4 linked regions of the Pelodiscus sinensis genome follow. The protein of the gene in region 4 interacts with the protein of the main gene of each other region in a pairwise test. Links are inferred from orthologs where the notes say so. Each region holds a gene or a part of one and is shown on either strand. Other genes may lie near its edges.

Region 1 (7,454 bases), on a different chromosome or scaffold from region 4:
CTGCGTCGTGGGGGCCAAATGCTGGACCCAGCCCCCGGCCAGATCTAGGCACTGCACCGTGGGGACCGCCAACTGCTGGGCCCAGTCACCAGCTGACTGGATATAAGCACCACACTGTGTGGCCGCACCCAGCCCCCGGCTGGATCTAAGCACCACATGGCTGCCAACAGACGGGCCCAGCCCCCAGCTGGCCAGATTTAAGTGCCATGACCTCCCCCGGGGAAGACATCCGCAACCTCCTTGGCGGTCACGACTCACAGGCTGCGCACCATTGGTCTAGTAGCACCTTAAAGACTAACAAAACATGTAGATGGCATCATGAGCTTTCGTGGGCAAAACCCACTTTTTGCCCACGAAAGCTCATGATACCATCTACATGTTTTATTAGTCTTTAAGGTGCTACTAAATTTGTTCTCGACAGACTTCAGCCATCTCTTATCCCATCTATTTTTTAATATTAAACAGACACTCCCACATACACAAGAATTGACCATATCGTGGAGGGGAACAATACAAGAGTGAACTGGCTTTAGCAACAGTCTATGTTCAAGTTTCTCAACCATTTCCAAATACTGAACAGTCGGTGTATGCAGAAATTTCACATTAAACATTACTGTTGTTCTCTTGGCCACTAGGGTGATCATCTAAGTGGTGAAAAGAGAAAAGCCCAATTTAAAATGCTCCTATCTTTTAACAACAAAAATTGATAAACTTAACTGTTACAAGTCACTGGGACCAGATGGCATTCACCCAGGAGTTCTGAAAAAACTCAAATGGGAAATTGCAGAACTATTAACTGTGGTTTGTAAACTACCCTTTAAGTCAGCCTAATGTATCTAATGATTGGAAAATGGCTAACGTGATGTCAGTATTTAAAAAGGGCTCTAGAGGTGATCCTGGCAAATACAGACCAGTAAGTCTAACATCAGTATTAGGGATATTAAAATTAGATTAATCAGCTAATCAAATAGTCGATGGAATTTCCATTAACTATTTGACTAGTCAACAAGGGCGCTTCTGCTCTGAAATGTAGCAAGAGCTGCACTGCATTCTGCCTTTGAAGTGCCAGCAGGGGCTCTTGTGCACTTCAAAGCAGAACCACCCCATGGAGCCCAGGGTTTGCCGGGAGCAGGGGGGGGGGGGAGGGAGAGGAGAGGAAGTAGAGGGACTCCTCACTGGCCCCAGGCTCCATGTGGCACTTCCACTTTTTACAAAAGAAATGCCAGAGCAATAAATATTTTTAACAATTAAAATATAACTGAAGTTTTAAACCTCATCAGGTGTACTAAGCCATTCCAATGACAGTTGGAAGGATACTTGTACATATCTTTCCTTAGCAAAACGTGTCTGTAAAACTAAAATTAGAGCTAAATTATCTCCACGTGCTTTTTTAGGGTACAAATGCAGGGCCTCTTTTACACAAAATTACTGTTTGGCCTCCTTTACAAATACTGAAAAATTAAAAAGTCGTTCCTGAAAGGCAGTTGTGACCTTCCTGTTCAGACCACCATATGGTTGCTGGAACAGAGGGAAAGACAACTCAAGAACCAATGCACAGAAATAAGGGCAGATCAGAAGACCAGCAAAAAAATATTTCCTCAATACCTGCTCAATATATAGTTCCACAAAGAGGTAGAGTTGGACTTGGGCTTAACCACTGTCTTATTACTTTTGAGATCATAGTCTACACAACAGCCCTATCTCTTTCCATGTCAGAATCAAGATCCTACAGCTAGAAGGGGAACAGCAAAACAGTGTTTTACTTATGGGACAACAGATAATTCATACAAAAGCACTGTCCCTTCCTGAAAATTTAAAGTCTAATTTAAGTTCAGATGTTTAGATACAAGATCCATGTAGTGGTGCATATTTTCATCTACTTACATTATTATTGAGGGGGGGAAATGAATTAGGCAGTTGTCAAGCTTTGAAGTCTTAGGATACTGAGCCATTTGAAAAACTGATAGTAGAGTTTAGCTCCAAAAGGGATTTAGAACCAGACCTGACAGCTTACCATACTTTGAAGCTAATCAATTAAGTTTTAATAGTGGTGGGGAAGGAGGAAAATATTTTCCAACTATTTGGCAGTTCTTAAAACAAGTGGGTTATGTAGTGAAACACATATTCACTTTTATGAAAGACACACAAACTGCTGCTAATGGAAAAACATAATTTCCCTAGCAAGCCCAATATATGCATGGCCACCACCAAGAAAAAGAACAAGTGCTTTGTCTACATAAAAAGAATAAAGAGTCAGTCTCTAATGTGCCACAAGTTGTTTTTTGCAGATACAGACTAACATGGCTACCCCTGAGAATGTGTCTCCATACTGAGTCCTAGCACGGCAAGCAGTGGCGGACTGGGGATATTAAAATGCACTCAATTAAGTAACCAACCAGCCATGTAACCCTTGTGGGACGACAGCCGACTCCCCAGGAGTCAGTGGGGGTGGAGGGAGCCGGCTTTAAGCCAGCTTCCTGCACTACCAGCTCCTGCCCGCCCCGATACAGAGAGAGCCCGAAGGGTAACCGGGTCCGGGTGACTGTCACGTCCCCAGTGCGGAGCCGCGGCTCGCCCGCTGCCCACGACCCGGCTGGGAGGACGCTGCCCGGCGCGACACCCCGGAACGCGCCCACCGCCTCCCCTCGCGTGCGGGGCTCCGGGGCGGGGCCCTGGCTGCCGGGCGAGGAGACAGCCACGAGCCGGGTCACTGCACGCGCCGCCCGGTGCCCCCGGGCTGAGCCCCCGCTGGGCGCCCCGCGGGCGGGCGGGTGTCATGGAGGCGCCCGCGGGCTCCAGGCGGCGGGAGGGGGCGGGGACCGGAGGGCGCGGCCCCGCCCGCGCTACCTTTGAAGAGATAGTCGTACTCGTCGTCCCGGGTGCCCATGGCGATGGCGGCGCGGCCGATCCGCTGCTGCCAGGCACCGACGCGGGGCGGGGGGAGGGGTTGCCGCGGCCGCCTATCAGCGGCCTCCGGGAGTGGGCCACAGCGCGACCGCCTCAGACGCCACCCAATGAGAGGCTACATCTGGTGACGAGCGGGCAGCAGATCCAATCGGTCCAGGGCAGTGGGGCGGAGTCTGGCTAAGCAGGCTGGGGAGGCCCCGCGCAGGCCCTGGTGCAACCACCACCCGCCAGGCCTGGAGGAGCCCCGGGGCGCGTCGCTGGCAGAGCGCGGGCTTGTCCCCCCCGCCGGGCCCAGAGCCTGGCTCCTGCCCAGAGCCCAGAGCCTGGCTCCTGCCCTCCCCCCCGCCGGGCCCAGAGCCTGGCTCCTGCCCCGAGCCCAGAGCCTGGCTCCTGCCCTCCCCCCCGCCGGGCCCAGAGCCTGGCTCCTGCCCCCCCCGCCGGGCCCAGAGCCTGGCTCCTGCCCCCCCCACCCCGGGCCCAGAGCCTGGCTCCTGCCCCCCACCCCGAGCCCAGAGCCTGGCTCCTGCTTCCCCCCCAACCCAGAGCCTGGCTCCTGCCCCCCGCCCAGAGCCTGGCACCTGCCCAGCTCCCCCTGCTGTCTCCAGAGCCTGGCACCTGTCCAATCCTGGCCCAGCCCAAGGCTACCTGCCCAACCCCCTCACAGCTGCACCAGATGTTCCCAGCTGATACTAAATGTGATCAGCTGTTGAGGTGTGCAGGCAGCAATGGGAGGAGGGGGCACAGTGAGTGTGGGGCACAATTTGAGGAAAGGTGGAATGGGGGGTTGAGCATCCCCTAAGAACTCAGGAAGTTGGCACCTCTGCTTCCTAGTACACCCCCCTCCGAAGGACAAAGATGATGTGGATTACTCTGGTTGTGCACGTGTGCCTCATGCTGCAGGTTAGGCTTTTGGCCAGCAGTATCTATGTAGTGGGCCTACACTTATATCCCTTGAGCTCTTGTGCTGAGGGCATAAACAAGTGAAGCCTTCCTTTTACTGCCTTCTGGCCATAAGTGCTGACTTTCCAAAGTGCCAGGAGGAGCTCTGCCACAGGCTGGCCCTAACCCCAGCCTTTTCCCAAAAAGCTGCCCTACCCCTGCTCCCCTGAGCATACTGTGTTCTTCCTTCTCTTGCTCCCCTTCAGCATCAGGAACACTGTGAAATAGCTAATTGTGGTGAGGGGGAGGTATGGGAACAGAGAGGGGAAGGTACTGGCTCATGGGGCCTGCTGCACTAGCAGGAGAAGGGAGCTGATAGGCTGCACACCCACTTTTTTCTCCGTGAGTGTGCCAGCGCTGGAGCACCCAGTGCCAGTGCTTTGACATTAAGATGAAGCAGTTGCTGTCTGTCCTTGCAAGCAGGCTAGAATTCTTCCAAACCATAACTTTGTAAAGTTATGATTAAAGGGGTTAGTTACCTGCTCCTTGTCAATTTTTATTCACCTACTTAGTTTTACAGAATTAGACTTCTGGTACCAGAATGGCCTCCTCAGGTTCCTACTATTTCTGTTCTGTCCCTCCTATGAGGGAGCCATGCCAGCAAACTGGGCACCTCAAAAGCCCATCTTTCGGGTATCTGAGGTGCCTACTGGGGAGATATGCTGTTTGCATATTGTTTACTTCCAGAATCTATAAAGACATGGAGGCCAGACTCCTGATTCATCTCATGAATAAATCCATGAGGCCAGTATCGGACTCCTTGCTTACTGGCTCTGAGCTCCCTTTTCAGCTCCAGTGACTAAGCCAAATAAAAGAGGTTTCCCTTATGGTTCAGGGAGTCCCAGATCACTCTTCCATAGTAGGGATGTGAATGACTAGTCGACTATCCGATAAGAAAATGTTTAGTTGTTGAAGCAAAAGCCTCACTCAGTTTACGCAGCTAAACAGACAGTTTTATTGGCCAATAAAAGTAAAGTGAGCCAAATGTGGTCCCAGCAGAGCCGGGCCCAGTAAGGCTGGCTAATATAATTAATCCTAGTATTTTATACCCTTAACCAAACAAGTCTGACGTCAGGGCAAGAAATCAAAATGAACTTCAAAGAAGCATTATCAGCAGAGAAAGAAACAGGTTTAGAGGGAGTTCGAGCTTCAGCTCAAAATAGTTCATTAACACATTCCAACAGCGCATCTTTCTGGCCTCTCCCCACCTCGGTGAAGGCCTGTTCACTCCCTCTAGTATACGCGCAGACACAAGAAACTGAAATGGCTTTTGTTATACCGAATGGCTTCTAGCTAAATATTAAATGGTTTCTACATAGTCAACATGCTAGTCAACTAGTCGCTTCCTCCCCCTTGCTGCCTCTGTCAGAAAGAAGCAGCAAAGGGGGAGGAGTGTAGGGGAGCTTCAAAGTGGCAGCGCTGCGTGGAGCCTGGGACCAGCTGGGAGTCCCCAGCTGGCCCGGGCTGCATGCAGCGTTTCAAAGTGGCAGTGCTGTGTGGAGCCCGGGGTCTGCTGCTTTGAATCGCTGCATGGAGCCCGGGGTCAGCTGGGGACTAAGGTGGAGGGAGCCATGGCTAAACTATTCGATTAGCCAATTAATTGAACTTTACATCCCTATTCCATAGAGATTTTGTGGCCCACTATGATTCCCACCAAAGCTTCTTTGGCATGAATGTGGCAGTGATGAAGCTGCCTTGAGTCGCTCTTCTACCTTGTATTTGGCACTGCCCAAAGCTGCTAGAGTAATGCTGTATTAGACACAGCAGCCCCAGCAGTGCATAAGAGGGCCCACTCACAGTAGTGATGTTTGGGATGATGTTGCTGTGTGAAGAGATCACCGCACTATGTAGACTGTCTACTCCAAAGGAACAGCCATGGCAGATGCGTTTATAATGCTGGAGCCTGATGTGATGGGTTGGATCACAGCAATCCTCTTGGCACTGTCACCCAATGTACTGGTCATATTACTGAGCCAGCCTGCCTGCCTGTCCTTTGGGGTGCCTGGCAGCCTGTCCCTGCTATTATTCAGAGACACAGCTCGCCTCATTGACCTGCCCGCTCTCATCCAGCCTGATATTTGACCAACAGTTCAGTGGGCACACAGCATGGCTGCATTGGAATGGCAGAGGCCTTTGAGCCTGCAGAGCAAGAGGCCAGTGGGCATGTCAGGAAATGGGCCTTGGTGGGAATGGCCAGATCCTGAAGAGTAAGCAAAGATCATGCGGGAAGGCCCAGGGCATGCAGCAGAGATGGGGAAGCTCTAGTGCCTTACCAGGAACTTGAATCCTGGCAGGGCTGGCTCTAGGTTTTTTGCCACACCCAGCAAAAAAAGTTTGCCCCCCCCCTTTTTTTCACAGACGCATGAGTGTCGTGGGGCCTAGTGAAGCAGGTGCAGAGCGTTACTGTGGGTTAACCCTAGCTTGTTCTGGTTTAGCTACAGCTAACAGGATGAGAGTATCCACGTACCACGTTGCACTAGTTTAGTGGGTTTAGTGTCACACTTGAACAAAACCTGTTCACCTCTGTGTGGAGACTCCAGCATCATTTCTCTGGCTCAAGAGTTGTGTTGTTTTGTTTGTGACTATTTCTCTAGGCTCTAGCATGGTCCTATGCTTCTTGCCAAAGAGGTTATTGTGGCTGTAAAAGTCAGTCCAAGCGCCTGACTGCCTGCATGGGGTATTTGCATCGTACTGGCAGGAAGCTAGTGTGTGGTATATAACTAAGCAAACCCCATTTCCCAGCCAGAGGCTGTTGGGGCTAGGTCAAATCTTGCCAATTGAATAGCAGGTTAAGAGAGCTCATCAATTTCATGCCACTGCCAGTCCACTGAGTGCATGGCTACCAACCCAGCAGCATTGCTGCTCTGCAGCGTGGCACCAGCACTGATCCAGCTGTGGTCTGGCACATGCCAAGCCTGTGTCACCCTGGATCGGTCTCTGGCCGCTGGCTCCAGGCCAACTTGGGCAGGTGCCTGGAGAACTAGTTTTCAGAGACACACTATTGCTCATTCTAAAGCTGAGCCAGGATTCTGTTACCCCTTTACAATGCGTGTGGGGTTTAGACATAGCTGCCACTCTGCAGCCAAGGCCAGGCACCTATCCCAAGGGAGCAAGAGTCTGTTCACAAGCAGGATGGGTGAGAAAAAAGGCAGCTATTTCCAGCAACACTTGGAGCTTTGTGCCCTCCCAGGAAGCTGCGCTCCAGGATCCAGGACCCAGGACCCTCTTGTGCTGCACAAATAACCAGGACCCTCTTGTGCTGCAGCCTGGGGGTGGAAGCTGCCATGTAGGCACTTTTCATTACTTGTCAACAGGACACAGCATCAGATACCAGGTGTTACTACAACCAGGAACTTGGTGCTGGTCCAGGACCTGGGCATTTCCCAACCACTGCAGAACAGGAATGTCAGAACCTGCCGTTTCCTGAGTAGCACTGCATGCAGTGTCCTCGCTCTCCTCACCAGAGGGAGCTCTCCCCTTTCAGTTGGACTTGACAAAAATCAGAATTCAAAGAACCCACTGGAAAACAGAGGAGGGGCGATTCCTAGGGACGTCCCATTAAGTACCTCCCGTTCCTCATCAATGTATAGCAAAATAGGGGTCTCTCT
Region 2 (7,104 bases), on a different chromosome or scaffold from region 4:
AGGACACCATTTTATCCCCTGGCTAATAGCCTTTTATGGACCTAACCTCCATGAAATCATCTAGCTTCTCTTTAAACTCTATTATAGTCCTAGCCTTCACAGCCTCCTCTGGCAAGGAGTTCCACAGGTTGACTACACGCTGTGTGAAGAAGAACTTTCTTTTATTAGTTTTAAACCTGCTCCCCATTAATGTCATTTGGTGTCCTCTAGTTCTTCTATTTATAACTTTTCTTTATCGGCCCTCTCCACACCACTCATGATTTTATATACCTCTATCATATCCCCCCTCAGTCTCCTTTTTTCTAAACTGAAAAGTCCCATTCGCTTTAACCTCTCCTCATATGGGACCCGTTCCAAACCCCTAATCATTTTAGTAAAAGTTTGGGGCCTAGTTGCCAGAGCCACTGTCCTTCTCCCAGTGAAATAAGGGCATACAGACCTGGCTAGAAAGTAATAAACATTTTCCCCTGCAAATAAAAATTTTGGTTTAAATGTTTTTTTCCAGAAAAACCAAAACATTTTCCTTGTTCGAGAAAATAAATTTGGTGGGTTTTTTTGTTTTGTTTTTTAAATCTGGCTTTTGTTGCAATTCCAGTTACTGAAAGCAGTTTGACTCAGGTTAGAAGAAACTGCGCTCTAAAGGGATGCAATCCAGTTAGGGCCTGATCCTGTCAGCAGGCATTACGCCATGTTGGCATTAATACTTTTTACATTACAGTAGTACTTGGAGGCTCATACCAAGACTGAGGCCCCAGCATGACAGGGGGCCATGACAACCCAGAGCAAGAAACAGTCTCTGCTCCTTATGGGGCCTGAGAAACACAGATTATTTTAATTGTATCCTTTGGTATATATGGTTGTGACTATTTTCTTCCATTATTTGATCTGAGGAAGTGGGTCTGGCCCATGAAAGCTCATCACCTAATAAACCATCTTGTTAGTCTTTAAAGTGCTACATAGTCCTGTATTTTGTTTCAGCTACACCAGACTAACACGGCTACATTTCTATCACAGATTAGAAGTGGGTCTGGCCCATGAAAGCTCATCACCTAATAAACCATCTTGTTAGTCTTTAAAGTGCTACATAGTCCTGTATTTTGTTTCAGATTAGCCACAGTACTTGTTGCATTCCGGCCACACCCCAATCCTCCCTCTATGTTTATGGCCCTTTCCTCAGCTCCAAACCAGTTGGGACAGCCCCTTGTGCAAGCAGGATCCTTACATGGCTATTTCCACCCTTTAAGGCTGCTCTCCACTTCGTGCTGGTCTTTGCACCCCTTCTGATCCGGTAGCACTTTGCATAGATGTAAATGCGCACTCACAGTGTGGGGTGATGGAGAACCAGCTCCCAAGGTGGGACAGTCCAGACATCCATCGGGATTCAAATGCCTGGGGATCTGGATTGACAGAAGCCCCAAACCTCCACACTGAGCTTAGCACCATTCCACCAACCCCCCGCAGCAGTGACACTGTAACACTGGCTACTTCTGATTGTCCAGCTAGGCCAGCAGCGACGAGTACCTAATACTCAAGAGCATGGCTTCCCAAACTGGGGTGTGTGAAGAAATTCCCGGGGGGGGGGGAGGAGCACGAGGCGACCCAACCCCCCCCTCCCCCATCAAGTTTTGCTGCCCCAGTCAGTTCCTTTTTTTTTTTTCCTCAACAAATTTTGCTATTTTGGGGGAAGGGAATGTGAGGGTTTTTGAAAAATCAAAAAGTGGGTGTGATGCTGAAAAGTTTGGGAACTGCTGCTCAAGAGGGAGGTGTCAGACCCCCTGACTGCATCCCACAACGCACCCGTCAGTCCAGGCACCGAGCTGGGCTGTTGATTTACTGATGGGATACTCAGTGGGTCACAATCTTGGACAATTTGGGAGAGGAGGGTATAGCTGAGGGGCTCATCTGAGCCAAATTCCTGGTGTAGCTCCACTGACTTCTTTAGGGCTTATGCCCTGGTGAAGTGGGATTTGGCCACAGGGATGGACCGAGGTCAAAGAGCCACCTCGAAGGACTCCTCATAACCACAGGAGAAAGACCCTTTCCCCCAGTTTCTGTTCTGGATGGCTGCTTCCCCTCCACCTCTTGTGGTACATGCCCTAGCCCAGTGGTTCTCAGCCAGGGGTGGGGGGAAAACATGTGTACACCTGTGGGTCTTTCAGAGGGTACATCAGTTCATCGAGATATTTGCTCCGTTTTACAACAGGCTACATAAAAATCACTAGCAAAGTCCATACACACTAACATTTCATACAGACAGTGACTTGTTTGTACCGTGCGCCACACTGAAATGTAAATACGATATTCATACCCCGGTGGATTTATTTTATACTTCGGTGGTAAAAATGGGAAAGTCAGCAGATTTTGGAGTAGCCGTGCACGGCGAGATTTTTGTGTTTCGACGTCTGGTTTTGTAAGCAAGTCATTTTTAAGTGAGGGGAAACGTGGGGCTTGCAATTCAAATCGGACTCCTGAAAGGGATACAGTTGTCCAGAAAGGTGAACAGCCACTGTCTCAGCCCATCACTGCTGCAGCTGGTCTCCCCACATCCATCCATCCATCCTTTGCCCACCTCTCCCCATGCCCCCAGTTCCACCCTTCCAAAAGGCAGAACTAGCACATTGAAACCTAGTCACCGAATGAGGGTGCCGGCAAAACTTACCCTTAAAGACAAAGTTATAATTCTCCTCAGCTGTCCCCATCTTTCCCAGCCACACCTGGCCCCCCTCCGGCCTGGGATCCTCCTCTCAATCTTTGCTTGCTTCCTTACCAGCCAGGGTGTGGGGGAGTTTTCTTTTTTGCCAGGCTCTGATAAACCAGGAAGAGAGAGGACAAAATTTCCTCCTAAGCCAGCGAAGCTGAAAGCGATTGGGAGGAGAGTTGCCAGAGGGGAGGAGACCCACAGAGCCAAGTTCCCTTTACTGCACCAGCTCCCAAAAACCCAGCTTCTGTGTCCTGTTGTCAGAGGGACTGGGCGGGGAATAGATCCTTTCTAGGCGGGTTGAAGGTGCAGCTCTGCAGGGCTGGCTGACTCAGTGAGGTGTGACCCGGGTGTCGCTGTACAGGTTTGTCAGGTAGTGCAAACCACCCCCACCAGCGTCACATGGTTGCTGGGCTCACCCGTACTGGCCTCGGCTTAACTTCACCCTAGGTGTAGAGCAGGAGTGGGGAACCTTTTTGGGTCGGGGGCCACTGACCCACAGGAAAAACGGACGGGGGCTGCATATAAAGTGAGAAGAAACAAACAAGCAAACAAAACTCCTTAGTGACGTGGCTCCCAGCTGAAGAGAAAGACACTCTCCACATTCCCCTTGTGAACCAGAGCCTAAGGGGTCCAGCCTAGTACATTATGTGTGCCCAGTGAGGTGAACCTCGGAAGGCTGGATCCAGGCAAGCCGGGGGCCACATCCGGCCCCCAGGCCTGAGGTTCCCCACCCCTGGTGTAGAAGGACCAGTTTGAGTGGGGGGTTTCATCACAGGATATGAACTCATAGGAAAGATGAATCTTTCATTCCTGGGGATGCCAGAGGAATTCTGAAGGGCTGGCAAGTCTCTGGAGGAGGGAGGGCCAGCAGGAAGCCAGACAGCAGGGTGTGGGAGGCAGAGGGGACAAGGAGAAAGAGCTGAGGATGGAGAGAGGAGCAATTTGCCTGCGGAACCAACTCTGCGGATCTGGGTCAAGTGCCTCAAAAAACACGCTTTGCCTCAGGTGTGTCTATGCCTACAGCGGGCTCCCCTGGAAACAGTCCATGCCTGTCTGGTGACACACCAGGGAGTGAATCAGGGATCTGCAGCGTGAAAAGTCTGAGCCCCCTTATCGCTTCAGCTCAGCCCTGCAGCCTGACTTCTGTGGCTGGGACCAAGAGAGAGGCCTGTAACACACACTCTGGCCTGGGGCTGACACCGTTTATTTCCTGAAGGACTCCTTGGAGGAGCAGAGTGCCAAGGGGACTGACTATTTGAGAGGGGAAGGGATGAACTAACAGGAGTCTGGCTGGGGTTGACAAGAGGGGATGCAGAGGAGGGTCCAGTTGTACCAGGGCTCCAAGTTCGAGGAGCCCCAAAATATCTGTGTAAAGAAAGTGACAGGCAGAGCCATCCCATCTGTGGTAGGATGAACCAGGGTGGCTGCTCCGGCTCCTGGTGAATATGGGGGGGGGGCTCTAATCCAGGACGTTGTTTGGGGGAGGTGATGGTGGTGGGCAGGAGCACAGCAGCAATGGGGCTTGGGGAAGGGGAGGGGAACAAGGGTGGGGCCTGAGGTGGGGAAGGGGGATCCCAGGGCTTGGAGCACTGAGGGTCATCCAGGCCCTGCACCCCCCTAGGGATGGCCCTGGTGACATGGGGGGAGCCCCAGGGAATACAATGTACTTGGGCCCCAATTGCCCCTTGCTCTGCCCCTGCAGACCGTGTGCCTGCTGTGACTAAGGTGAACCCACGGAGCATGAGAGAGGCATTCTCAGTCATCCGTGTGCGAATGACTCGCGCACCTCAGCGGTCCATGGAGGTGACCTCTGGACTCCGTGCTGTACATAGACCCAGTGAGAGACAGACCCTACCTGAAGAGACAGCTTACCAATGCAAACAGCGGCCCAAAGGCTGGGGAGGGGTTTGATTTCCATGGTTCAAAACCCAGCTCTCCTGACTCCAGCCCGGTGGGCAACCCCTGAGCCAGGCCCTCCTCTCACAAGCAGGTCCTGTCACTGCATCAGCATCTGCTCTGGGGACTGGTAGAAGAGACACTGGAAAGGCCTCTAAAGAGGAGCTGAGGGAAAAGGTTTTAAAGTGGCTCAGGCTGGTGGGGGGAAGGCCCCCAATATTTCATTCCGCAAATGGGGTTCTCATTGCCTAGCCTTAGAGCAGGGGTGGAGAACCGACGGCGTCAGGGCCCTCCTAGCATTAGGGAATCGACATTGTTCCTGCAAGGGGCTGGAGCACACAAAATCGACTAGCCTGGGCCTGCCTAGACTCTGGTGTGAGGGGAATGGCTCAGTTGGGGGGTTTGTTGGGTTTTTGTTTGTTTGTTTTGTTTTTTTCGTTCTCACTTGGGGGCGGCCCCCGACTGATTTTTCTGTGGGTCTGTGGCCCCCGACCCAAAAAAGGTTCCCCACCCCCGGCTTACAGCCACTACAGGGCAGTGAGCGAACCCAGGGCTGCATGAGGCAAGTCCCTAGCTCCACCCCTGCTGCCTGAGGCCCCGCCCCTGCTGCCCAAGGCCCCCATGGAACCCAAGACCCCACACTGTAGGGGCAGGCCACCCCCACCCTAGCTTTCCCTAGAGCACAGGGAGGGTCGGTGGCCCCCCCCTCCAAACCCAGAGGGCAGGCAGCGAGCGGCTCCTCTGGCCTTGGAGCCCGGGTGATGCTGAAGCCCAGGCACCCCAGGAGACTGGAGGGAGCCACACTGAGTGGGAGGGGGTTTGGGGGCAGAGTGTGGGTGGGACCAGCCAGGTAGCTTGGGAAGGTATTGCCTTCCCTTGCCTCTTACACCTGCCACCCATGAGCCGCTACGATCCCGCCGCTGGATCCCCAGAGCTGCCACTGCAGGAGAATGATCAGCCCTTGGACGGATCTTAGGTACGGGAGGCAGCGCGACTGAGCCAACAGGGCTTTCGTCTATGCCTGGGACCGCACCTCTTTCCGGCTGGGCAGGGAGCTGTGTGAGCTAATGCCACCGCCTACGTAGGCAGGTGAAAACTCAGCAGGGGGTGGGAGAGGCCAAGTCACAGGAGGAGAAATCAGAGCCATTAAGGGCTTAGCGCTACCCAGCACCGACGCTGTGCGCTCGTGAACTATTTCATGCTAATGCGGGGTGGGGGGGTATGCGAAGTCCAGGAGGCTAATTCCCCATTGTACTCTTTTTACATGGCTCAGGAAGCCCTTTTTACATGGCTCGGGAAGCAAGTGAAATCCTGGCCCTACCAGTGGTGCTAGAACAATTCTTGATGTGAGCTGCACCCCGCCCCAGCTGTGGCTGCGCCCCAAACCACTCCTTAGAGCTGGGGCTGGCAGCAAAGCCCCTGAGGCTAGCAGCTGAGTAAGACCCAGGGTGGACAATGGAGTTCCTGGGCATGGGGCCAGCTGGCAGTGGGGTCAGTGTCTGGGAGCCCAGCATGCAGGGTGGGCAGTCAGGACTCTGGAACCTGCAACAGAGCAGCCAAGACACAGGGTGCAAAAACTGAGGGTAGTGCAGCACCCCATACACCCATACTTCCTGCGCTTATGGGTGCCACTGCTGTTACTGGCCAAGCTCCCATGGGCCTCCCTCATTATAGCTCATAGTTTTCTTCTGCCACTCCCAAAGGAGAGCAGTATCATTACTCCCATTTTACAGGCAGGGAAGCTGAGGCACAGAGCAAGCAAGTGACTTGCCCGAGGTCACCCAACAGTCCAGAAGCAGGACTAGAATACAGGTCTCCTGACTCCCTGTCCAAAGCACTAGGCTACGCTGCGTCCCCCTTAGCTCTGAGTTAGCAAATTTCCTTCTATTTCCATAATTTGTATAAACATGAGTGGATTAGAGGAGGAGATACAACTATTTTGGATTTGTCTACACAGTGCCACAGCCCCGACTCAGGGCATGTGAACTGGTGTGTGCTCTCATTGGCTGCTACTCTGTGCAGACTCTGCCAGCATGAAAAGGTGCCTAGTTTGCATTGATGTAGCTCTGTGTCAGACAGGACCATGTGAACACAAAAGTTGGGTAGCTTTTAGTTCACACCCCCTGGGCCAGCCCAGGGCAGGCAGAGCATGGTACCATCCTCCGACCCGCTGATCTTGGCATGACCCAAGCCTTAACCCTGGGCACAGCACTACATGAACTGGCTAGTTTCACTTTTAAAAAACACCAGGACAGCTTCTCCTGCTGTTGGTGCAGATCAGAAATAACTCCACTTACACTGTGGTAGGAGGGGGAGAATCGGGTGTTTGTGGGCCTCCTACCACCGGTGGCTGGATTTACAGAATCAGACCTGGACACTGCTGGTATCTCCAAGAACAGACACTCCGAATTCATGTCTGTAGTCAGTCACGGGGGTGTAAATCCAGATTGACTCGCTCCAGATTTACACCAGTGTTACTGGCAGCAGAGCATTTTCGGTTAGGAAAT
Region 3 (7,623 bases), on a different chromosome or scaffold from region 4:
CATAAGAGTGTAGTTATCTTACCAGCTAAGCATGACATTTCAATTGAAATTGTCATTTAAAAAATAGAAAAATTTCATAATGATGACAATTTTGCTTTCTAGTCACAGTTAATATATGAAATCTAAAAATGGCATATTTCCTAATTCAACCAAATGGTTAGAAACTTACCCAGATTAAAAGCACTGTCACGTTTTACTGTACCTGAGCAAAACTCTTTTGTTTCTAAATTTGTATCATGAGGTTCAAAAATTGAAATAACTACTCATCTTCATCAAGTACTAGCTACCTGCAAAGTTGCAAGTCATTCCCACATCTCAAAAAGTTATAAGAATGCATTGTAATGAAGTTATAAAAATACTTGCTTCGTGAGAAGCATCTTGCAGCTCTAAAAATAGCTTTTACTGGGGAGGAAAAATATTATTATGAAATGGAATTCAATGTAATACTGAACTCTATGTAATGCACTGTACAGCAGTTATTGCTTTAGGTTTGTTAAAGTAATTTTGGCTTTGTACCTCATAATATAGCCCAAGGTGTTAAACATTTTAAAACACACAGTTTAGCATGTCTTATTGCTTAATAAACCAGTTATTTAAAGTAGCTAACAGGAACAGTTGTGCAATTAATAGATTTGGCAACCAGATTAAACACGGATATAGTGGAAGCGATGGATTTCTTTAATGACTTTCATGCTAAAATGTTGTTAGAAGATTAGCAATAATCACTGTAAATCAACGTAACAATCATTAGTGTTCATCAAATCATTAATGTAAAGAACTTTTACTTGGAAAACATAGAAGAGAGTTGTAAATGACTTACCTGGCAGTTTCCACTGAAGAAACTTGTGCATAACTGAAAAACATATTAAGTTACTGTTTCAGTTGTCAAACATCTATAGCATAGCTTGACTAAATACAAACAATGATCACTTAAAGGAAGATTTTGAGTTCAATTAGAAGTTCCCAAATATGATCTTCCAAGACTTAATAAATAATATGGTGCTCGTACCTTCTTGTTTCCAACTATTAAATTTATTAGAAGTTAACACTAAATTCTTTTCCTCACATTTTTTTTCATGTATTTACAGGCAGTCCCCGGGTTACGTACAAGATAGGGACTGTAGGTTTGTTCTTAAGTTGAATTTGTATGTAAGTCGGAACTGGTACATATTGTAGGGGAAACTCTAGCCAAACATTTCTCCAGAGCTCAGTTTTATTCTCCCACACCTCACTTCCCTCAGTCCTTTATTCTAAAGCTGAGGTGTCTGCTGAGAAAAGCCGCTCCGCATCTCCCTGGTGTTCTGGGGGAGGAGGGGCACTAGCTTCACGTCTCCCTGGTCTGCTGGGGGGAAGCAGCTAGTGCGGGGTTGCCTCACCCCGTTTGTAAGTAGGGATCCGATGCAAGTCGGATCCGTGTAACCCGGGGACTGCCTGTAATTGTTCTGGCTGCTTTACAGTTATCTGATCTCCAATGGCAAGGGGTAAGCCGTTAAATCATGAATGAAAAGATGGTCCAACAGAAGAGTCTAAAAAAATTGGGAAACTATATTAGAGTTCATAACTTTCAAGTTTTAAACAACTTCTATTGAACTACATAGAGAGCAGGAATGTAAGTATTTGATTGAAGTTTGAGAAAACTTCAGCGAATTTGGTATTCAAGGTGACAACTAGATTGAAAACAGTTCTTTATTTCCTGTATTTTAATGTGGTATGTCCACCTATTTACAATCTGAGTTACTATAAAAATTGCAGCAGCTTACAGGCAGTCCACGGGTTACATGGATCCGACTTACATCGGATCCCTACTTACAAATGGGGTGAGGCAACCCCGCACTAGCTGCTTCCCCCCAGCAGACCAGGGAGACATGAAGCTAGCCCCCCACCCCAGCAGACCAGGGAGACGCGGAGCGGCTTTTCTCAGCAGACAACTCAGCTTGAGAATAAAGGACTGAGGGAAGTGAGGTGTGGGAGAATAAAACTGAGCTCTGGAGAAATGTTTGGCTAGAGTTTCCCCTACAATATGTACCAGTTCCGACTTACATACAAATTCAACTTAAGAACAAACCTACAGTCCCTATCTTGTACGTAACCCGGGGACTGCCTGTATCTATCTATCTCTCTCTTATTTTAAACTAGAAATCAACACCAAAAAAATTTTTTTTGGTCAGTCTCCACAAAAGAGGATGACCATTTAACAAGTTTGGTCTCTTCTGCAGGATAACCACAAGAAGCTGTTCTCTTCTTTCAACATCTGCATTCTGGGAATAGGGAATTTATCTGCTCACATGATAGGGTGCTACGGTCATAAAAGCTGAAGGGCGTTAAGCAGGAAGACCAGGGGATGTTGACAGTACGAAAGAACACACCCCACGCCATTTCAGAGTGCGATTCCTGCCTGTTTCAGCCACACATGCTAAGGAGAGCGGGACTGAGCAGGACTCCTGACTCTGCCGAGCAAAGCTCAGCTACGACACCTAAGTACTGGTCTCCCAGTAGCGGTCCCATCGTTGCTTGCCCGTTTACGTTGGATAGCGCCGCTTCAGACGGCGGTTTCGCGTTGAGCCTGTGAAGGCCGCTTCCCCTGCCAAGCCCTGGCTTCCCGAGACAGCGCCCCACAGAAAGCGCCGAACGCACCGCGGCCAGAGCGCGCTCAAAGCACTGCGGACGTTGCCCAAAGCCGCCCGGCCCCGGCTACCGAGCGGCCGGTTCGACACCGGGCGCCACACACGGCCCGGCCCAGCTCGGGGAGGGGGGTGAACAAGAAACGCCGCCGCCCAACGGTTCCCAAGCGCCCCCGACTCCGTGACGCCCCTCAAGGGGGCACCCCCCCTCCACAGAGCCAGCGACTACCGACCCCGCCCCCCCAGCTCCCCCCGGCAGCGGGACATACCTACCGGGACTAGGTCCCTTCAGGAAACTGACAGACACCCCCTCCTCCCACCCCCGCCCCCGCGCTGACCCGGAACCGGATGGGCAGGGAGAAACCAGAGTCAGGGTCGCAGGAGCCGCGCGTTCCACGACTCCGCCAGGGGCTTTGCAAGTGAGGCGCATGCGTAGTGCGTCCGGCATCCCCCCCCCCACCCCAGAGACGCTGGGAAGCTGCTGTGAGCAGCGAGGGCTGCTGCCCGGAGCGGTCAGCGCGCGGGACTGCGCGTGCGCGCTCCGCCCCAGCCTGTCAGGCACCGAACTCCCAGCGCTGGGGGTGGGAGGGCACCAGGCTTCCCGGTTCCCAGCCGCGCGCCCCCTCGAAAAAGGCCCGTCCTCAGCGCTCCCAGCCTGGGAACAGTGAGAAGCGGGGCGGGCCTGGCAGAAGGGGCGGGGCGGGGCGGGGGGACCCAGTTTCGAACGGTCCGAAGACATCGCGCTAGGCAGTGTGGGGGCTGCGCCGCAGGAGCCGTTGGGGGAGCCGGGTCCTGTGCCACTGAACCAGCCCGGCCCTGAGGGCTGAACCGCTGCACGCCAGCGCTGGGCAGCAGCCCCCTGCCCCTGGGCCTGGGCAGGGCCTGCCACAGGGTAGGACGCTAGCGTCAGACTGGCTCCAGTTGTCACAGGTATGTCTGGCCTCAGCTCCCCTCCAAAGCAGGGGGAATGAGGGGCTTAAGTACTTTGGAGGATCTGGATCTCCCTGGGCTACCCAAGCCCCAGGGGATTTTGTAACTGAAAAGTAGTAGGTGTCACATACAATACTTACGTTGGTAAGAAATGATTCCCTCGACGGCACATCAATTTCATCATAAAATTCTAAACATTTACCAAAAAGCATTTTTTTTTAAAGCAGGACATCAATTCTTGTACTTCTAGACACGGGAGGTTCATATATGGCTGTATCAAACAAGACCCACTTCTTGACAAAATCAATTTCCAAGGGATGAAGTGTCCCTGCCTCCCTCTACCCCCTGCAAAAAAAAAAAAAAAAAAAAAAAAAAAAAAAACCACTGCAAAAAAGAGTAGTGGTTCATGCGCCAGTCAGGGAATTCACTATTCTGGACAAATCAAATCAGATGTCAAAATGATCAAATGTGTGTCCTAAAAGTTAGGCACCTAAATAAAGTGTAAATAAGTGACCTAATTTTTTAGAACTGCAGAGTCTCAGACTGTTTCTACATTGGCGCAGTCTTGCGCCAAAGTGGCTGCTTTTGCGCAAAAACATACTGCCTGTCTACATTGGCGGGGAGTTCTTGCGCAAGAACACTGATGTTCTAATGTGTGAAATCAGTGCTTCTTGCGCAAAAACTATGATGCTCCCACTCAGGAATAAGCCCTCTTGTGCAACTGTTCTTGCGCAAGAGGCTAGTGTAGACAGGCAACATGAATTTCTTGCGCAAGAAAGCCCGATGGCTAAAATGGAGTCAGCTCTTGGTCAATTTCAGCAGCGGCTGACTTGGGGACGCCTGGGGCAGAGCAGCTGGGGTGCTGCTGGGTTGGTCCCGCACCGCCGCTCCTCAGCGCTACTGGATCAACCCGGCAGCACCCCAGCTGCTCTGCCTCAGGCGTCCCCAAGTCAGACGTTGCTGATACTGAGTGAGTCAGCCGCTGGTCAATTTCAGCAGTGGTCAATTTCAGCACCGAGGAGCGGCGGTGCGGGACCAACCCAGCAGCACCCCAGCTGCTCTGCCCCAGGCGTCCCCAAGTCAGCCGCTGCTGAAATTGACCAAGAGCTGACTCCAGAAAGCCTGAGGCAGAGCAGCTCTGCCTCGGGCTTCCTGGAATCAGCCTCTGGTCAATTTCAGCAGCGGCTGAATCAGGACGCTTGGGGTGCTGCCGGGTTGGTCACGCAGCCCCCAGGGGCAGCGCCCCAGCTGCTCTACCTCCGGCTTCCCCGATTTAGCCACTGGTCAGTTTTAGCAGCGGCTGAATAGGGGAAGCTGGGGGCAGAGCAGCTCCAATGGTCCGGCTGCGGAGCACTTCCGGGTTCCTGATGGTGCTGGACCATCAGGAGTGCCGGACCGTCAGATGCCGGACCAATGGAGTTTAACTGTATATTGCTATGCTTTATGAATCAAGGGAACATGAAGGGGAGGTTAAAGCGACTGGGACTTTTCAGTTTAAAAAAGAGGAGACTGAGGGGGTATATGATAGAGGTCTATAAAATCATGAGTGGTGTGGAGAGGGCCGATAAAGAAAAGTTATTTATTAGTTCCCTAAATAGAAGAACTAGAGGACACCAAATGAAATTAATGGGTAGCAGGTTTAAAACGAATAAAAGAAAGTTCTTCTTCACACAGCGTGTAGTCAACCTGTGGAACTCCTTGCCAGAGGAGGCTGTGAAGGCTAGGACTATAATAGAGTTTAAAGAGAAGCTAGATAATTTCATGGAGGTTAGGTCCATAAAAGGCTATTAGCCAGGGGATAAAATGATGTCCTTGGCCTCTGTTTGTCAGAGGCTGGAGAGAGATGGCAGGAGACAAATCGCTTGATCATTGTCTTCGGTCCACCCTCTCTGGGGCACCTGGTGCTGGCCACTGTCGGTAGACAGGATACTGGGCTAGATGGACCTTTGGTCTGACCCAGTACGGCCGTTCTTATGTTCTTATGCACTCAGTGTCTCTAAAATGTAAGTTAACTCACATTCAGAATGCATCTGATGAAGGGGGTTTTATCCATGAAAGCTTATGCCCAAATTAACGTTAGTCTTTGAGGTGCCACAGGACTCCTTGTTGTTTTCACATTTAGAAAGGGCTTTGAGACCTTTGGAGTTGTACCATTTTAGATGGCTAGATAGAACACTTATGCCACTACTATATTAATCATAAACCTGCAGAGAAATTATATTTTTCTGACCACACACATCACTAGGACTTTCACCTATTACCACATTATCCTTTACCCTTTCAGAAATAGTGAAGTCATCTATCTTTCCCATCAGAGAGTTTGAGGTAGTCCTCCCACAAAGATCTTGTTTATGCAACAACAACAAGAATTGTCTATAGTCTTTTCCAGCACAAGTACATCTGAAGTACTGCAATCAACAGATACAATGCTAGTGTAAATGGACTCAGGCATTTTTACCATCACATCATGAAAATCTGACTATAACCTTTCACATAAGCAGGCTTTTATAATGTTGAGTAAAAACTCCTCAGCACTGTACACACTAAAGCTTACATCATGTCTAATAGTGCATCTAAACTGTTGCTGAAAAATGGGTACAAACTTCTCTAGGGCAGGTGCAATCAGAGATTCAGATCAACATAGAGTCATTCACTCAACCTATTCTGAGTGTCGCTAGCTTTATAAAGAGCTTAGTACATTGCCACCGTATTGAGACAGGTGCTAACCTAGCCAGTTTCTCTTCACTTACCTTATGGTAGCTTGTCGAGACAAAGGTGGAAGGGTACAAAAATGAAGTCAGTTTGACTGTTTCAGGAGAAGGAGGAGGATCAATATAAAACTTAACTGTCAATACATGAGTAAGAATAAGGGGGAAATATGGAGGAAATAAGAGGGGGAATAGATTTAAAGGTGTGGAGGAAAAGAAAAATGAGCAGAGAAAAGGAAAAAGAAGACAAAGGTGAAGAAAAATATGACAGAGCACAGAGACAAAAGAAGTGCAATTAATAAGATAATAAGGTCACCACTCTCAGGACCTTACATTATTTGTTTGTGCAGAGGTTAGCACAATGGCCCCTAATATATATTGGGGCCTACATGCACTACTATAATATATGGCTAGACTGGCATGATTTTCCAGAAATGCTTTTAACAGAAAAGTTTTCCGTTAAAAGCATTTTCGGAAAAGCACATCTAGATTGGCACGGACACTTTTCTGCAAAAGCACTTTTTGCGGAAAAGCGTCCGTGGCCAATCTAGATGCTCTTTTCCGCAAAAAAGCCCCGATCGCCATTTTCGCGATCGGGGCTTTTTTTGCGCAAAAAAAATCTCAGCTGTCTACACTGGCCATTTTGCGCAAAAGTTTTGCGCAAAAGGGACTTTTGCCCGAACGGGAGCAGCATGGTATTTCCGCCAAAAGCACTGATTTCTTACAGTAGGAAGTCAGTGCTTTTGCGGAAATTCAAGTGGCCAGTGTAGACAGCTGGCAAGTTTTTCTGGAAAAGCAGCTGATTTTCCAGAAAAACTGGCCAGTCTAGACACAGCCTCTATGTTTAGTAATAAATAATAAAATAATTCAGGCAAGAGAGGGTTTAAATAAGGAAGAGTTGGGTGTGTAGATACAGAATGGAAAATGCAAGAAGCTGAGATTTGAAAAATATAGCAAAAGGGACACAGATGGTAAATACTCACCTCCTACCTTGACGGTACATGGTACATCCCCATTTTTACTCTGGGAAGAAGAGTACATTAAAGAATAAGTTGGGATGGGCATTGCTTAGTTGAGAAGTGCATACGGATACCATATTTTCTTTCTTTGCCCCCTGTCCTTTATATACCTTGAATGCCAGTCCAACTTTGAAACATCCCTCACTCTCTAAAAAAAAAAAAAAAAAAAAAGAATAGTCTTGCAGCACATTAGAGCAGGGGTTCTCAAACTTTGTGATACCGCGACTCCCGTCCAAGTTGCTCACGACCCTCCAGGGGGTCGGGACCCACAGTTTGAGAGAAACAGTCTTAGAAACTAACAAAAAATGTAGATGGTCTCATGAGCTTTTGTGGGCACAGCCCACT
Region 4 (6,935 bases):
CCCATATACAAAGTCTTTGCAATGATAATTAATAGTTTACACTTCCATCACATCTTCCTTCCCAGGAGCTCAAGTATTTTCCACCCACTAATTAAGCCTTACAACACTCCTGCAAGATGCATCTTATTATCCCCATTCTATAGAGGAGGGAACTGAAGCATGGAGACATTCAAGTGGCTTGTCCCAGGTCACCCAACAAGTCAGTGGAAGAGCTGGCAGCAGTACTGCAAACTCTTAACTCCCAGTATTATTGTTCACCCAGTAGTTTTTGCTCCTCTCCTGAGCAGATAATATAACATTCTAATTGTTTCATTTAGCAAGTGCCTGTCACCTGAGAAGCAAAAAGCAAAAAAGGTATCTGTATTTTACAGGTGGGAAAACTGAGGCATATAACCAGTAAGTCACTTGTCTGTGGCTTTGTCAATAGAGCACTGGACTGAAATTTGGGAGAGATGGATTCTCTTCTTGGCACTGCCACTGAATTGCTGGATGACCTTACGCAAGTCATTTCCCCTGTCTATGCTTCAGTTTTTCACATCCTGTGAAATAATGGTAACGATACTGACTTCTTTTGTAAAGAGCTTTAAAATCTACTGATGTGAATTACTAGGAGAGCTAGATATTTTGTCTTAATTATTATTAAAATCACACTGTGAGACAATAGCAGAGCTGGGATGGAAATTCCCAATCTTCTTCCCATTTTGCTGCTTTAATTACTAGACCATGCTACCTCCATAAGTAAGTGCCACATAGGTCTCCTACAAGGGATGTGGTGGGAAGACCTTTCAAGTCATTGAGATGCTTTTAGCTCTTTTACAGTAACTGCCCTTCTCTTTAGGATGAATAGAGGAAGTAAACTTTCACTGTGAATGTTACTGCTGCACTCAGATTATCAGCAGGATAAAACAGTATCACACCTAGCAGCTCTTTGGGCTACACACAGTCTTAAAATAAGTGTCATAACTTCACTGAAGCCACTGGTAGACCTTGCACCGGGGATTAGTGACACCTTGAATACTGCAGTCCTCAGACAAAGGTGGGTAGTTTTGTTCCTGAAGAGGATTAGTTGGAATCAGTCATTCCACGAACCCTGATTTGTGGGCAGTTACCAAAACTTCAGCTCTGTCAAAGAGAGCACATGGAATCAGTTCAGACTACTGTTGTATGGGGCCATAAAACACTGCACTTGCCAGCTCATGGTTAACACCTAGCAGTGCTGTTGACACCTCCCAGAACAAGGAAGGCCTGCTTTGTTTTAGCCTCACCTCCCATTGTGAGTCAGATACCCGCCCATCCTTGAACCTTTTGAGATCAAGTCTGGAGCAGCACCAACGCTGCTCAGCAACACCAGAGAGGCTCCACACCACCCTGTTCCTGCTGAAACTATAGGAGTGCCATACTGAAGGGATTAAAAGGTTTCTTTAAAGAGGCTGCTGTCACAGGGCTCTCAATTTCTGATCTCATGTTATCACTATAAGGAAAAGCAGAACAACACTAATGCACAAGACTTTTAACCCTATGAAGCAGGGTCGCCAGATTTGTCAGGGACTTTAACCCGGACGGCCTCCGTTCGTTGTCTGACCGCAAAGAGACAGGCAACACCAGCAAGATCCAATCACAAGCTCTTTATTGAATAGTGCGCACTACAATAGAGAGCGGCCCGTCTCCCAAGGGAACCAGCCCTGATTTCAGTAACAAGTAAGATTATATAGACAGTTCCGTCGTGTCATAAAACATTTGCCTAAGCATCTTAGCCCCCCCTTAATTAATTTGAAGCTTCTAGTGTTAATGCGTATACTTCATGGCCTTAAGCAATTCATAATGCATCAACAGCTGTCTTATCAGCCTAGAAGGCAAGTACCAAACAACAAGGAGACAGGGAGTTAAAACAAACAGAGGGCAGAGACAGTTGTTAAGATCAGGGTGAGAACAGAAACAGGGAGTTACTTTATCAGTTCTCAAACTAGCTGTTCTCATCACAGGTGCAGCCTTTTACTTACTTTATTTTGCAACTTAAGCAAGTACGTAGGGATTGCCCCTTGCTTGAGCCATAGTTCTAGTTCTGTTCTGTTCAGGAACTACCCAGAAACCTTTGTTAACCTCTTTCCTTGATCTGTCTTAACATAACTGCACTAGGCCCAATTCTCTAGGGCCTAACAGACCCAAGACTGAGAACTGTGAGGGTGCATCTACACTGCAGGGCTTAACTAGAAATAAGCTAAGCAAATTGAGCTATGTAAATTGCATATCTTATTTCAAAATAGCTTTTTTCAAACCAAGGAATGTCTACACAGCACTTATTTTGAAATAGAGCACTCGGCCACCTACTTCCCTTATTCCTCGTACAATGAGGGTTTCAGGAGTCAAAGTAAAAAGTCCTTCCGCTTGACAGTATTTTGACATTATTTCAAAATAACACCCTGCTGTATAGATGTGGACTAAGTTATTTTGGAATAACGCTAGTTATTTCCAAATAGTGTTGCAGTGTAAATGTACCTTGAGAGAGTGTATCTTCAGCTAAGGAGATTTAAAGGCAAAGGTTAGGGTACTTGTAATATTAAGAAAGAGAGTCATAGGAAAGTAATTTTCCCTTAAAGCACTGGCTTCATATAGAATCCAGCAGCCAAGAGGCAGCTTTCAGTGGGCCTGTACTGCTTTTAGAATGGTTGGTGATGCAGGAAAAATAAATGAAATTCCAAATGAGATGGAAGGAGAAAATGAAAGAGTGAGCACTCTGGTTAATGATGCTAGAGCCCTCAAATGCACCTTATTAGAAATAGCAGATGAACCTTGCTCCTTTTAGATACAAATCTACCATGATAAAGGCTGTGATATGAATAGATGGCTAGTTACTACATTACTATCTTGTATATTACTATAAAAACTGACACATCAGCAACATTCAACTGAATAATTTGTAAAGGGGGTAAAGATATAAAAAACATCTCGTTTCATGTAATCTGGCACCTTCCAAAGAGCAGGCCCTGATTCATCTCTTACAATCGTTTCATGTTATTGTAATATCATTCATTTTAGCAGTGTTAATCCTGCTTTGTTTGCACCAATTTAAAGGGCAAGCAGGAACAGGGCTGTTGTCTACTGAACAGTGCTTAGGAAGCAGAGGCAAAAATCCACTCTAGACAGGACTTTAGCAGATTTGCTAGACCAGGCACAGAATTGGTTTATTTCCAACTATTTAGTATGGTATTTCATGTTTGGGGGGAAGGGGATAGGACAAACCAACAAAAAACCTACAACCAAAACCAGCTCCCCAAACAACCTTCCCAATAACATTTACTGGGCCGTCCAAACCCCAAACGCAAACGATTTCCCCAAGCACAGTGAAGTGAGTGGTGTGGTAAAACTTCCCCGGGCAGATTTAGCAGTTTACAGCCTTTGGGTGGAGCAGTCTCTGCTCGATGAAGGGAGGACCCATTCGAACCTCAAGATCCAAACGTGACCTCGTAGCATGTGGAGCGGGGTTGCGCTGGAAAACTTCTCACGTGTCCACGAACTGCACCTCCCCATGGCTTCAAGCACTAGTCCCATGTTGCTGGCTCCCTGATTGGAGGGCGATAGGGGACTGCCGCAGGGCAGCGAGGCGCAGGCTGGCTGGCGCTCCCGGGAGGAAGGAGGGGGCTGCGCCATGGCCAGCAGGGGGCGGGCGGCCCTTGCCTAGGTGCCTGCCCGGTGCGGACAGAGCGCGCCTGGGAGCGGAGGGCGCAGCTGCTCCGCCAGCCGCACCTGGGACAAGAGCGGAGCCGAGCCAGGCTGGACGCGCTGCTCGCTTCTCTTCGCAGCTTGGCGAGCCGGGCCCGCAGGCTCCGGGCTGCCCCGCACCTCCCCATACCTGCGCTGGGAGCGGCGTGCGAGGCGGAGCTGGACCTGCCGCTTCCACCCGCCTCCTCCTCGGATTGATCAATAACTTCGGGTGCGAAGGTCGCGTCCGGCTGCGCTCGGGAGAAGCCCCGGAGCGGAGCTTGCAGGAGGATCCCGGCCCGCCCGGCATCCCGGTGCTGCCCGGCCCGGAGCCATGTCGCCCGGCCCCGTGTGAGCCTGGACTCTAGCAGCCTCGCGGCTGGGCTGGGCGCTTGGGGCGGAACCCTGCCCCCCCGGCTGCGCCGCGCCCCGCGCCCCTCGGGGGTCCCGGCCAGGACATGTCGGTCTCCGAGCTCTACACCAAGGTGAGCGGGGGGCGGGTGGGGAGTCCCGGGCTGAGCCGGGGCCTGTGCCGCGGAGGTTCACACGCCGCTCTGGGAACCACCTGCCGCGCTGGGAGAGGGGGAGGCTCGCTGCTGCCCGCCCGCTTCCCCAGCCCCCCGGAGCAGGGGCTCGGGACCCGCCCGGCTGCGTTCGTTCTCTGCCTGGGCACCCCAGCCGGCCCCTAGGGCGCCCCCCTGCAGCCAGGCCGGGAGCAGCCTGCAGCGGGCGGGCCAGGCTGCGTGTTCACAGGCGAGCGGAACTTCTGGTGCCTGGAGCCCTGCACCTGCCTCTCTCCGCCTTCGCCGTGGGGCCGCTCCCCTTGCACTGCTGCCTGCGGCCCGGCTAGCGGGCTCCCCCGCGCTGCAGTTCCCTCCCTGTGCAGCACCCCGGAGAAACTTCCTGCCCCTCTTATCGCTGTGCTATCCCCTCTCCGCCTGTAATACCCGCAGGGCCAGTGCCTCTCCGATTGCCCTTCATTCTGCAGGGTCACCTCCCAGGGCACTGCCTGGCTACCCTCCCTGCAGTCCCCCCTTCCCTTGGGCCCTCTGAGGGCACGGAGGGGCCGCACGCTGACAGTTTGTGGCTGGTGTTTTTGGAGGGGGAAGCGGCAGCAAGTGGGGCCCGGGGAGTGTTAATCTACAAGCGAGTTACCCCTGCATCGCGCTCTCTTTTCTGTGCAGCGGTGGGTACATGCTTGGTGCTCCAGACGTGGCGGGGAGAGGGTGATCGGGGCAGGAACAGGCTGGGAGGCGGCTGGCTCGGGCAGCTAGGGAGAGGCTGGGCTGAGCACGAGGAGGGGGAAGAGCCCGGAACAGGTGTGCAGAGAAAAGGAAACCTCGAGTTGTTGCTGCAGTGGCCACATGAAGTTAGGGACCGGGGACGCTTCCCAAGCCGTGGCAGCCTGCTGGGGGCACAGCCGTTACTGTTAATAGGCTGGCTAGTGGCTTTGCTGGCTTTACTGGAAAGAGCCGCTGTGTTTTTCTCTGGGCTGGCTCAGTGAAGTAGGCAGGACCATGGTCCTCTCCTCGGGTGGATGAATCATGTAGGAAATGCTGACAGTTCCTGGACGGGCACCAAGGGTGTTCCTGGCCACACAGGTGGGGTGGGTGAGAGTCAGTAGGTCTGTCTGGGAAACCTGTTCCGGACTAATTACAGTTTGCATTGGGGAAAGGACAGTGTCTCACTGAAACAACCACCAGAAAGAGATTTAGGCAGCAGTGTGGTTTCTTTGGGGGGCAGTTCAGCAACTTTTGAAGATCCTCCTATTGTTTTTAACACACACATCTGATACTCTCTTCTGTAGCTCAGATGGGGCAGGGGTGAGAAGATCATCCTTCCTACTTCTGTGTTTATTGCCTTAGGCACACCATAGAGTTATTTAAAAATCAAACTTTTTTTTTTAAGAAGCCTTGTCAGTATACAGTGAACCTAGGTGAGGACAGCTTAATGAAGTTGTCTAGTTTAGATTGAGTTTCTTGCCTTATGTTGCTTGTGCTGCCTGCTGGAGTGAAATTGACTATGAACGTTGCATGCTCTCCATGGAATACTCTCAGAAATAAGATTTCTCCTGAGACCAGGCAGGAGCAAAACACTTTTTAGCTTTGGTGTATGGCAGCATAAGTAGTAACATAAAAACTATGGCTTGTATGCCTAGCAGGTTTCATTAACAACCTCTAGGCAAAACAAAATAAAATGAACTTTTACATTCCAGAAAGGTAAAACTAGGCAAAGCAACATTAAAGTACAATTATTACACTCCAAGCAATGCTGCTGTTTTAACCCCAAGTACAGGATGAGCATTCTCCTGAAAGAAATTTAACATACCTTGTTTTTTATTTTTTAAATGCCAGTTTGGAATGGGCTTGTTCTCTGTGGGTTTCACAGTCAGTCACAATATCGATACATATGTTTCCTAGATAAGTGTCTGAGAGAGCCAACACTGTAAGTAGATGCACCATAGCGTGGGTGGGTATCTTTGCAGACATTGTTGGCTTTTCGGTTTTCCTAATATTTATGTGCTGGATGTGCAGGGAAAGGTGTAAACAGGAGATTATTTGCCCTCAGAGGTGGTGTTTTATGCTCCTTTCTGAACAATTTCCTGTGAAGTTCATCAGCTTCTGTGGGTGTACTACACAGGTTGTACCCACAAAAGCTCATGATACCATCTACATGTTTTGTTAGTCTATAAGGTGCTGCTAGACTATTTGTTGTTTTTCAAGTTTTTCCAGGCTTGACTGTGAGTCAGGAGGAGCAGAACTAGGTAGATGGCTGTTCCCTGCACTGTGCTGTCATTTTTTCAGAAACACACAGGTATTACCCAAGTAAAGTCAGGATGACCCAGTCAGCATGATCTTGTTTGGTTGCTCCAGGAACTTTCCCTGCTTATCCAGAAGGCTAAAGGTTGCTGCCAGCAGGGAGCATTATAGGGACTGAAATATGTTTGGAGTTGAAGAAAAAATTATGGGACCCTAGTCCTCTGTACAGATGGTCCTGACTTCAATGGATATTCAAGATGGGATGGATGGTTGGAAACTTTGTGACTGGGCTTTGATGGAGTTTGTCTTCTATGCACATTTTCTCATGTGGATGATCAACTACCTGATGAAAACAGTTTCACCCTTCTTGAAATTCTCCCCCCCACCCTTTTTTTTAAACAGAAAACAGGTCAGCTGTGGGCAGGGAGGAGGGAAGTGCTTAAGACGCTGTGCCTAGGGGCGAGTAAGGTGTAACAC

Evidence for each region.
Region 1: the proteins of MYO5B (region 4) and RAB11B interact in binary tests that used the Homo sapiens proteins (3 or more experiments, as listed by UniProt). The link is inferred for Pelodiscus sinensis from reciprocal best matches to the Homo sapiens genes MYO5B and RAB11B.
Region 2: the proteins of MYO5B (region 4) and RAB25 interact in binary tests that used the Homo sapiens proteins (3 or more experiments, as listed by UniProt). The link is inferred for Pelodiscus sinensis from reciprocal best matches to the Homo sapiens genes MYO5B and RAB25.
Region 3: the proteins of MYO5B (region 4) and BNIP2 interact in binary tests that used the Homo sapiens proteins (3 or more experiments, as listed by UniProt). The two-hybrid records come from large-scale screens. The link is inferred for Pelodiscus sinensis from reciprocal best matches to the Homo sapiens genes MYO5B and BNIP2.

Annotation. Positions count from the first base shown.
Region 1 is NC_134729.1:25,309,729-25,317,182, reverse strand, and holds the start of RAB11B (ras-related protein Rab-11B), read right to left. Parts: upstream 3,006-7,454; 5' UTR 2,888-3,005; coding exon 2,848-2,887; intron 1-2,847. UniProt on the Homo sapiens protein: The small GTPases Rab are key regulators of intracellular membrane trafficking, from the formation of transport vesicles to their fusion with membranes.
Region 2 is NC_134734.1:16,799,042-16,806,145, forward strand, and holds the start of RAB25 (ras-related protein Rab-25), read right to left. Parts: upstream 3,021-7,104; 5' UTR 2,700-3,020; coding exon 2,660-2,699; intron 1-2,659. UniProt on the Homo sapiens protein: The small GTPases Rab are key regulators of intracellular membrane trafficking, from the formation of transport vesicles to their fusion with membranes.
Region 3 is NC_134724.1:43,189,150-43,196,772, reverse strand, and holds the start of BNIP2 (BCL2/adenovirus E1B 19 kDa protein-interacting protein 2), read right to left. Parts: upstream 3,012-7,623; 5' UTR 2,895-3,011; exon of another isoform or gene 2,891-2,894; intron 2,789-2,890; exon of another isoform or gene 2,635-2,788; intron 854-2,634; exon of another isoform or gene 821-853; intron 1-820.
Region 4 is NC_134716.1:115,239,247-115,246,181, forward strand, and holds the start of MYO5B (unconventional myosin-Vb), read left to right. Parts: upstream 1-3,923; 5' UTR 3,924-4,157; coding exon 4,158-4,184; intron 4,185-6,935. UniProt on the Homo sapiens protein: May be involved in vesicular trafficking via its association with the CART complex. The CART complex is necessary for efficient transferrin receptor recycling but not for EGFR degradation.